Linked DNA regions of Oryzias latipes. The protein of the gene in region 1 binds, or shares a complex with, the protein of each later gene. Links are inferred from orthologs where the notes say so. Each region holds a gene or a part of one and is shown in the gene's direction. Other genes may lie near its edges.

Region 1 (4,506 bases):
TACTCTTCAGCCGCTGTTTATGGAAAAAAAGGGGTTATGCAGACACTGTTTTTTAAATTACTTTACATGCCACATGAGGGGATGTGGATGCTGCACCTCCTCCAATACTTTTTGATACTTTTTGAGAGCAGAAGAAAATGTTGGCTGACACGGAACTGTGCAAAACATCCTCATTATGTAGAACCAAAACTGCGAAATACAAATGAGAAAGAAATGTACCTATTTATAAATAATAAATGTGAATAATAATTTGAGTATAAATGGAAATATAAGCATTTATACACTTCTTATTCTATTATTTTGTATGTTCATAATTTTAAAATGAGTACATTTATTTTATTTGTCATTAATAAATTAGAACCTTTATTTCCTACTTGTATTTGGCAGTTTTGATTCTCCATATTCCATGCCAATGCAAGATTTTAAGACACATTGTTGAAAAAGTCAGACTACCAGACTGTCTATAACAGATAAACAGCAGTTTCTATACTGACGTAAACCGGAAAATGCAGAACGCACTAAATATGTGTTAGCAAAACAATTAAACAATACAATAACGTGAGTTAAACATTTATCAGCCATCACCGTTGTCGTTATTTAATCTTCTCTTCGCCGTTTTGGAAGGTCCTGTCTGACCTCATCCAGGAAACTTGGGTATCAGAATTATTTTAGAGTTTTCCATTGGAAATTACAACAAACGGGGTCGTTTATGTGCAAACTTCACCTGTCTTTCTAACTTTACCGAACTTCGGATCAATTAGTATTTTAAATCGCGAATGCACAGAAATACTGGATAATGTAAAAAATATGGCCCCATCATCCTCCAAACTTACCTTGTGATTGATGCTGAAGTTGTTCATCTTTTTTCAGCTCCTGATGGATAAAGTCTCTTTGGCATGAAGTGCTCTTGTTGTCGCTTTGATCAGCGTGACAAAATGAGCTATTTTTTTTTCTTTTCTCAACTTTATTGAAACAAAATGCGCTCGTAAATGCACACTGTGCCAGGCTCAGATGCAGTGATGTTGGCCAATCGTTGCTGAGAGTGGCGTAACGTCATTATTTGGGTTGCCAGATTGGTTCAGGTTTGTTGACAAGGGGGATCATTAAAGTGCAGCCAACTTTCTTTTGCACAACATTCACAGCTATGAAATAGGTTGCCAGATTTGGGTCTTTTTTTTATTTTATTTTTTCGCCACTTCGGGGCCCTGGTGATGTGGGGGCCCTACGCGGCTGCGTAATTCGCGTATAGGGAGGGCCGGCCATGATCACAGATTAATTGTCAAATTGTAAAAATTGTGAATGGCATTTACACTTTCCTTTCCTTACATTCAGGTGCACTCAAGCATAATCGGCTCTTAACACTGTGTTCACAGCCTAATCATTATTTTTTAAAGGAAACAATTAATTTAATTACTTTTTTAAATAATGTTTTACTTTTTTAATAAAGTTTTTATAAATTTTAAACTACATTTCAGGGAAACAAATTTAATTTATATGTTTTTCTTTGTTGGTAAGTCTGTTTTTACTTATTAGTTTGATTTTTTTTTCTTTCATTCCAGTTACTGTCTGCATTTTCAATAGGAACTATTTGTGACGTGCCAAGGTTTCCTGTCGACCGTAAAAAGTGACGGAACGATTACGCTGCAACAACGCGCACCTCACCGGTACACCAGTAGTAGTGTTTTACTCTCGGAGATGCGGGGCTTTTTCTTTTAAAAAAAACAACAACACTATTTTTGTATTTCATTTTCCTTTTATGCATCTTCACTCGGTCTGAAGTTGGACTAAAACGACCATATGAGCTCGTTTATCGTGCTGGAGATCTAATGATCTAATCAGAGCTAACCATTGAAATCTCTACGACCGGGTTGGTGAGACTCAGCATTCATTGTTATTTTCTTTCACAATAAAACCAGTTTTCGGTGATTGTTTGCTTTCGAACATTTGTTTTTTTCTAACCCGTCTATAAAACTAGTTTTGTAATAAACGTAATCATATTTTTACACATTATGAAAATGGCCGACATGATCATGTTGCACTAAACATTAGTGAAATACCTGCTAAAATGTCCTTTCTTTTTCTGTAAACCCTTAATAGCTCCAGTGAAGTGTTGGCAAATCCAGAAGTTGTTGATAAACAATCATGACATCTCTGGTAAGTTCTGACTTTTTTTTAATGATTATTTTTATTATTATTAACATGTAAAATGTTTTCGTTTCATTTAAGCTATTTTAGCCCGGCAGCTTCCGGTTACAGCAGGAAAGAAAACTTTATTAATCTGCGCTACAGAAGACAATGTTACACGAATTTATCAGTGGAGACTAATTGTAAAGCCTGAGTTGCATGCAGGCAAAAACTCATTCAATCAGAAGGTCGCTGATCTTATAGCAAAACCTTTTTTTAATAGAAATTCCACATTATTTGTTTGTTTGTTTGTTTGTTTACCATCTTCCAGGGGGGCAGCAGTGCTTCGACTACAGAATACACAGTGAGAGTCCCCAAGTGAGTAAATGAAAGCAGTAATGTGTTAGTAATGTTGACCATAACACAGAAATGACACCGTTATCCTTTGAAATAGTAATGTTTTGCATCATTCTGCCCTAAATTTGTCAACGTGTTACTTGACTCCGCCTTGCAAAAACAACTCTTTTTATTTTTTTATTTATTTTCTTGCCCCATAGAAATACAAGCAAGAAGTACAACATCATGGCTTTTAATTCTGGAGACAAAGTCAACTGTTCGGCCTGGACACAGGTGGGCTTCATGTCTTCTTTTTTGCTCCAGTAAAGTAAATCTATATTTTAAATTTGGTTATAATTAAAAACAATAAGATCTCTTAAAACATCCTTAGGAATTCAGAAATTTGTGACAAAATACAAGGGAGTACGGATTAATAAAGCAACTGCGTTTTATGACATATGTGGTACTAATGATGTTTTTTTAAATGTATTTTTTGTATTGAAATGTGGTGCCTCTTGGCCAGGTCTCCCTTGGAAACGAGATTTCTAATCTCGATGGGACTTCCCTTGTTTGATAAAAGTTCTAAAAAAAAAAAAGGTATTAAGTTAAATATCCTGCTTTGTCACTCCCCCAGGCTCGCATGGAACGCGACCTGAGTGCTCGGCGAATATATGGCGAGGAGGAGTTACCAGAGGGAGGGGCAGGGAGCGAGTTTGGCAAAAAGCAGCGCGAGGAAGCGCGGCGGAAGAAGTATGGCATTGTGACCAGAGAGTTCAAGGTGGAGGATCAGCCGTGGATTTTAAAGGTCAACGGAAAAGCAGGAAAAAGGTAAAGCGATAAATGTTTCTATTTTTGAAACTTAAGTACATTTTTTTTTTTTAATTTACCTGCAGGCTTTCTTGAAGTTATGACTTTTTTTTCTTCAAATAAAGAAAATCAATAAACCATATTTATTTAACCGTTGTAGAAAATGAGCAAATACGTCTTCGTACTGAGTAAGATTTGGTGTAATCCTCACCAATTTTTAACAAAATCTGTTGGTGTGTTTTTTATTTTTCCTAAAATGTTTATTGCAGCAAGATTCTCCTATGATTCCAGTTCTACAATCTTCAGTCTGGCTATAATATTTGTCTTTCTGCATCAGGTTCAAAGGTATAAAGAAGGGCGGCGTGACAGAAAATGCATCCTACTACATCTTTACGCAGTGTCCTGATGGAGCCTTCGAGGCTTTCCCCGTTCACGGCTGGTACAACTTCACGCCGGTGGCGAAGCACCGAACTCTGACTGCAGAGGAAGCTGAGGAGGAGTGGGGCAGGTTAGCAGAGCAGCAAGCTGGACTTGGAGAATGCCTTTTGTGTTTTAAAAGTCATTTCCTTCTTTGTCCAGGCGGAACAAGGTGGTGAATCACTTCAGCATCATGCTTCAGAGACGCCTCCGGGAACAGGAGCGGGGCGAGGAGGATGACGATGACGCCGACAAACCCGGAAAGAAGAAAAAGAAAGGGGGCGGGAAGGGTGGAGATTTGCGAATTCATGATCTGGATGAAGACCTGGAGATGAGCAGCGACGACAGCGACAACAGCATGGGAGATGGTAAGGATCCATGCAGCAGGCTCCAGAACTGTCAGGGCGCTCAGCCCCTTCCTCCAAACGTCTGTCAGCTCATTTTCCTCACCTGCAGCTTCCGTCTCTTCTTCGTTTGCAGATGGAGAAAACAAAGCAAAGGCAAAGAAAGACAAAGCCAAAGGGAAAGCAAAGAAAAAGAAACAAAAGAGCAATGAGAAGGATGCCCTGGAAGACAGCGATGATGGAGACTATGAGGGTCTAGAGGTGGATTATATGTCAGATGAAAGCAGGTGGGCTCCTCAGCGTATTTACCACATATACATATTAAAGAAAGAACATGTTTTTATTTGGTCTTTTTAGAAGAACAAGTCTGCATTTTTGATTTTCTACGTTCTTTGAATTCAAACTAAAGCTAAATGCGTGACACTTTTAGATCATTTGTTTCCTTTTTAGTTCAGAGGAGGAGCTAACAAAGGAGAAG
Region 2 (4,481 bases), on another chromosome or scaffold:
GATCATGGGTTTTAATAAGCGGACAAAATTCTAAAGTATTTGTGCTAGAGTAACAAGCAAACATGTTTTCTATGCAACTGTAATTTTAAAAAGTTATAACAAATAAATAATGAGTTATTTAACATTAAGGAGTAGTTACATTTATTTTTCATTACATTTAGTTACATGTATAAGTTATATCTGGCCCTTTGAGGACAACCACTATGCTGAAGTGGCCCTCAGTGAAAATGAGTTTGACACCTCTGGGTTAAATCTCACTCCAACCATCTTTTGATCCAATTTTAAAGTGTTACCGCTGGTCTTTTTATTATGATTATGTCATTTTTAGCCAAAATCAAAAACCTGTGTCGTTTTCTAGGACATATGTTCTGCACATCGGCAGCAGCTCATGAGAAATTCATCTGGGTTGTTGGCGGGATTCTAGGCACGGAGTAAGCCCGCCCCCACTTCCCGTCACCAATCTGTTTACACTAGCCTACAGCCCCTCACAAGCCCAACCTAACATAAGTGGTGCAACTAAAACGGCGAGCTATCCAGCCGTACAGTTTTGAGCCAAATACCAGCTGGGATGAGGAAAACAGAGACGGACATGGATCTGTCTGCAAGTGAACGGAGCGGAGCAGGAACTGCAGTTTGAACGTGTGTGTGTGTGTGTGTGTGTGTGTGTGTGTCAGAGTCTCTGAATTCATCTTCACGTCCTTCCAAAATAAGGGGTAATTTAAAGGCAACACCCACCTGTATCTTTATTCATTAACTCATTGTAGTAGGCGAAGAAGGCTCTGAACTCAGCTGGTCTATGAGACAGGACTTTGAAGACATTGGGCAAAAAACCTCCCTGTGAGAAGCAAAACATAGAAAGAAAGATGTACATTTTCACAGTGTAAACCTTAATTTAAACGTCGAATTCGTTATTTGTGAGCGTTTACCTTTGCCTCAACCTCTTCCATAAGCTCCACTATGTCATAAGGGAGGTTTTTTCTGTAGGGAATCGGGTAACGACTTATTTTCTCCGGTGGACCGCCGCTGGAGGATTGTCTGGTCGCCGCTGATCCGCCAGATCTCCCCTGGAGTAAGAGGCTTGACGCGGGCGGAGCCTTAGTGGACACCGAAGGAATCAGCAACAAGCACGACTCAACAAACACCACACAAGACTTTTCAACTACTCACAGCTTGAGTTAGTAAGGACGACCGAAACAACAACTTGGAGACGAGTTTGCCTGCCATGTCACTCCACATCAATGCAGACCGCTTTTTTGTGGTTGGTTTACGCTTTTTAGTCGCCTCAAATACTCCAGGGCTTTCCTAAAATTATTTACTTTAAAAAATAAAAATCTCACACATTACTATCTACAGATATTATAATTCGAAAAAGCTACAGTTGAATGCCGTCCAAACATGAGCCTTGTTTGGGGTGATTTCCCGTCGCGTGTGGCCACACAGACGCTATTTAGCTTTGTGTTTGTCAGATCTTAAATCGGTTGAAATCATCCAATGAATAAGCTCCGCTGAGTGACGCCTGTTCTTTAGTACGCCCTGTTGCGTCGGCTCCTCCTCGCCAGTAGGGGGCAGCAGTCATGAGTGCTGAACATGGTCTGAGGTAACCTTTCTTAAAAATACAAATTCAAAGTTATAACCACACATTTGATTTTCACGATATACATTTTACATTCTGTGGGTTTTATATATTAACAATACAAGGGTGCCATTTCTTCTCTTTTAAAACAATGAAAGGGCAACTATCTCATGTGACCCGGAAGAGATCGTTTTGACACACCGATGCCTTCATGCTAGCTGTTTTAGCATAAGGGAAACACAATTTGGACAAAACAGTGCAAAACAATCAAAGAAAGAATCTACATCTATATACAACAATATGTTTTATCATGTAAGTACTTGAACTTTTCCACCCCTTATGAGAGTATTAATAGATATGAAGGGAGGTTTTCGTCTTCGGTTTTTGCGCGATAATGAGGCGGCTTCACACAACTTTTTTCAAATCCCTTTTACCAAATATATCAGCGAAGTTTTATCTTCCATTGTTTGGATCGGCTTGTAACAGCAATGTTATTTGGAAAGTTTTTCCTCTTAAGTTAGCACGATCATAACCACGCCATGATCATGATGTGTTTACAGATTTCTTTGGAACATGAAATCTTACTACATCCACGGTATTTTGGTCCAAATCTGCTCAACACAGTGAAACAGAAACTCTTCACGGAAGTGGAAGGTACCTGCACTGGCAAGTGAGTAACAGCTAATCATAAATAAGTGCATAAGTGTGATTACTTTGTAAGTTTCTAGTCTGTCCTGAAAATAACAAGCATTTGCATTCACTTTTCTGTAATGCTGGTTTGTATAAAAAAGCTTAGAACTGCATCCCTACAGTATTTCCTGCTTGTGTCCCTTCTCCCAGGTATGGTTTTGTCATTGCTGTCACTACTATTGACAACATTGGGGCAGGTGTGATCCAGCCAGGTAGAGGTTTTGTACTCTATCCAGTCAAGTACAAGGCCATTGTGTTCCGCCCATTCAAAGGAGAAGTGGTGGATGCTGTGGTCACGCAGGTTAACAAGGTAAGGACCCATAAGTACCTGTTGTAGGCCTTTCTAAGATGTTTGCCATGGAATAGATCCTTTTGTTGAACGCTTGTTTTTCACATGGAAAACGTAGATTCATGAATTGTTTTTCTGAATTCCAGTCTCTTTAAATACATTTTCTATCCTCCTTTAACAAAATTTGGGTTCTTTGCAGGTTGGCTTGTTCACAGAAATTGGTCCCATGTCCTGCTTCATTTCTCGCCATGTAAGTTTATGTAACATTTAACACTTTACTATATATATATCTTGACCTAATATGTAGGTATGTTTTTATATTATTGTTTGTGTATTTTATTGTTTTTTTATTCTCCCAGTCGATCCCTTCAGAAATGGAATTTGATCCCAACTCCAATCCACCTTGCTATAAAACAGTTGACGAGGTATGTGTCATTACTCTGTCTGTTTTATGCAATAGTAGATTTAGCATGCAGAGACATTGAAGGCTACTTTTCTCTTTCAGTTTTTAATCCTTGTGATACATTTGATTTTAATGAACATTTCTTATTGTGTTTATTAGGACATTGTAATCCAGCAAGATGATGAGATTCGACTGAAGATTGTGGGAACACGAGTGGACAAGAATGACATTGTAAGTTTTTTCCATAAATATTATTTTTGATCTTTTGACCAGTAGCGACACAGATCCATTAACATCTTCATTTTCCTTGACTGAGCTGCCAGGACTGGATAGCTCCAAAAATTCCTCGCACTATTGTCATCTTGGGGCTGTAAGCTAGTGGGAAAGAGTGTAGACGGAGGATTGATACGAAATTAGCGCAGGATTACTTTGCACCAATAGTCCCGCTGACAACTCAGAGGTGAATCTCTGATGAAGGTTCCTACCATTCGGCAGAAACTATGTCCCAGAGAACATCACAGTTTTTTGTTGTTTTTTTTGGCCAAAAGCAGCACAATCCTAATGAAAAGACCACTGGGAACAATTTAACAATAGATCAAAAGATGATTGGATTGGGACTTTAGGTCCATATGGATTCTTGTAATGTTCCTTTCTTTGACTTTCTGGTGTTTTTTCAAACCATTTAAAAGAAGAACAACAAGCTTAGTTTGAATACAGCAGGATCTGGTTTGACAGTTAGTCAAAAGCCTGATTACAATAAAAGCAACCTCACTAAAACATCTGCTTGTCGAAATACCCATGTAAAGAATTGTGCAAAACTATTCATTGAAACAAGTTTCCTCTTTGTTTTCTAGTTTGCCATCGGATCTCTGATGGATGATTATTTGGGTGAGTATTAAATGTCAAGTCAGAATTATTTTTTTTTTTTTTTCAATCAAACAACAACATAACTAGACGATGATGATCTTTATATAAAAAGAACACATACTTTAGAATCTAAAATATGTTTGGTTACTATTTTAAATTAAAATTTATTTTCATTCGTGTTGTATTATTTTTCTTAACTGTCATCAAATTCATTCAGTGCCAGCATTTGGAAATTCTAATATTCAAACATACGTACAACATTTTATACACTGAAGTTTAGGATTTAGTTTTACATGAAGGACCTTCTTAAAATGATCTTCAACTTCCTTTATCTCACAAAATAGATAACTTATTAATTCTTCCAAATATTCAGTGATTCTTTACCATAAACAGTACATTTTCAACGCAATTGATACCTCACAGTATACAATTGTCATTTGTTTTAGTACAGTTTTCAATGCAGTATTATGATTTAATGGTAACATTTGGTCAATAATATTTTCATATTTTTAAATCACAGTGATTATTATTTGAAAAGGTATTACTCAGAAAGTAAATCTGTCAGATTTCAGTTTGTAAATTGCATATAAATGGCATTAATAAGCAATAAAATATTGTCCAAATGTAAGAGAAGAATTCAAAATAAATTTCACGAAAGA

What was found.
Region 2: gtf2f1 (region 1) and polr2g share a complex: the UniProt entries of both Homo sapiens proteins name them as parts of the TBP-based Pol II pre-initiation complex. The link is inferred for Oryzias latipes from reciprocal best matches to the Homo sapiens genes GTF2F1 and POLR2G.

The regions. Positions count from the first base shown.
Region 1 is NC_019866.2:14,106,077-14,110,582, forward strand, and holds the start of gtf2f1 (general transcription factor IIF subunit 1), read left to right. Parts: upstream 1-1,604; 5' UTR 1,605-1,871; intron 1,872-2,097; 5' UTR 2,098-2,142; coding exon 2,143-2,154; intron 2,155-2,455; coding exon 2,456-2,502; intron 2,503-2,681; coding exon 2,682-2,754; intron 2,755-3,094; coding exon 3,095-3,288; intron 3,289-3,604; coding exon 3,605-3,775; intron 3,776-3,846; coding exon 3,847-4,052; intron 4,053-4,164; coding exon 4,165-4,315; intron 4,316-4,478; coding exon 4,479-4,506. UniProt on the Homo sapiens protein: TFIIF is a general transcription initiation factor that binds to RNA polymerase II and helps to recruit it to the initiation complex in collaboration with TFIIB. It promotes transcription elongation.
Region 2 is NC_019868.2:13,737,543-13,742,023, reverse strand, and holds the start of polr2g (DNA-directed RNA polymerase II subunit RPB7), read left to right. Parts: upstream 1-1,634; 5' UTR 1,635-1,873; coding exon 1,874-1,885; intron 1,886-2,133; coding exon 2,134-2,243; intron 2,244-2,413; coding exon 2,414-2,573; intron 2,574-2,751; coding exon 2,752-2,802; intron 2,803-2,911; coding exon 2,912-2,977; intron 2,978-3,114; coding exon 3,115-3,186; intron 3,187-3,809; coding exon 3,810-3,843; intron 3,844-4,481. Other genes in the region: uncharacterized protein LOC101155778, read right to left, coding at 736-835, 927-1,094, 1,168-1,236. UniProt on the Homo sapiens protein: Core component of RNA polymerase II (Pol II), a DNA-dependent RNA polymerase which synthesizes mRNA precursors and many functional non-coding RNAs using the four ribonucleoside triphosphates as substrates.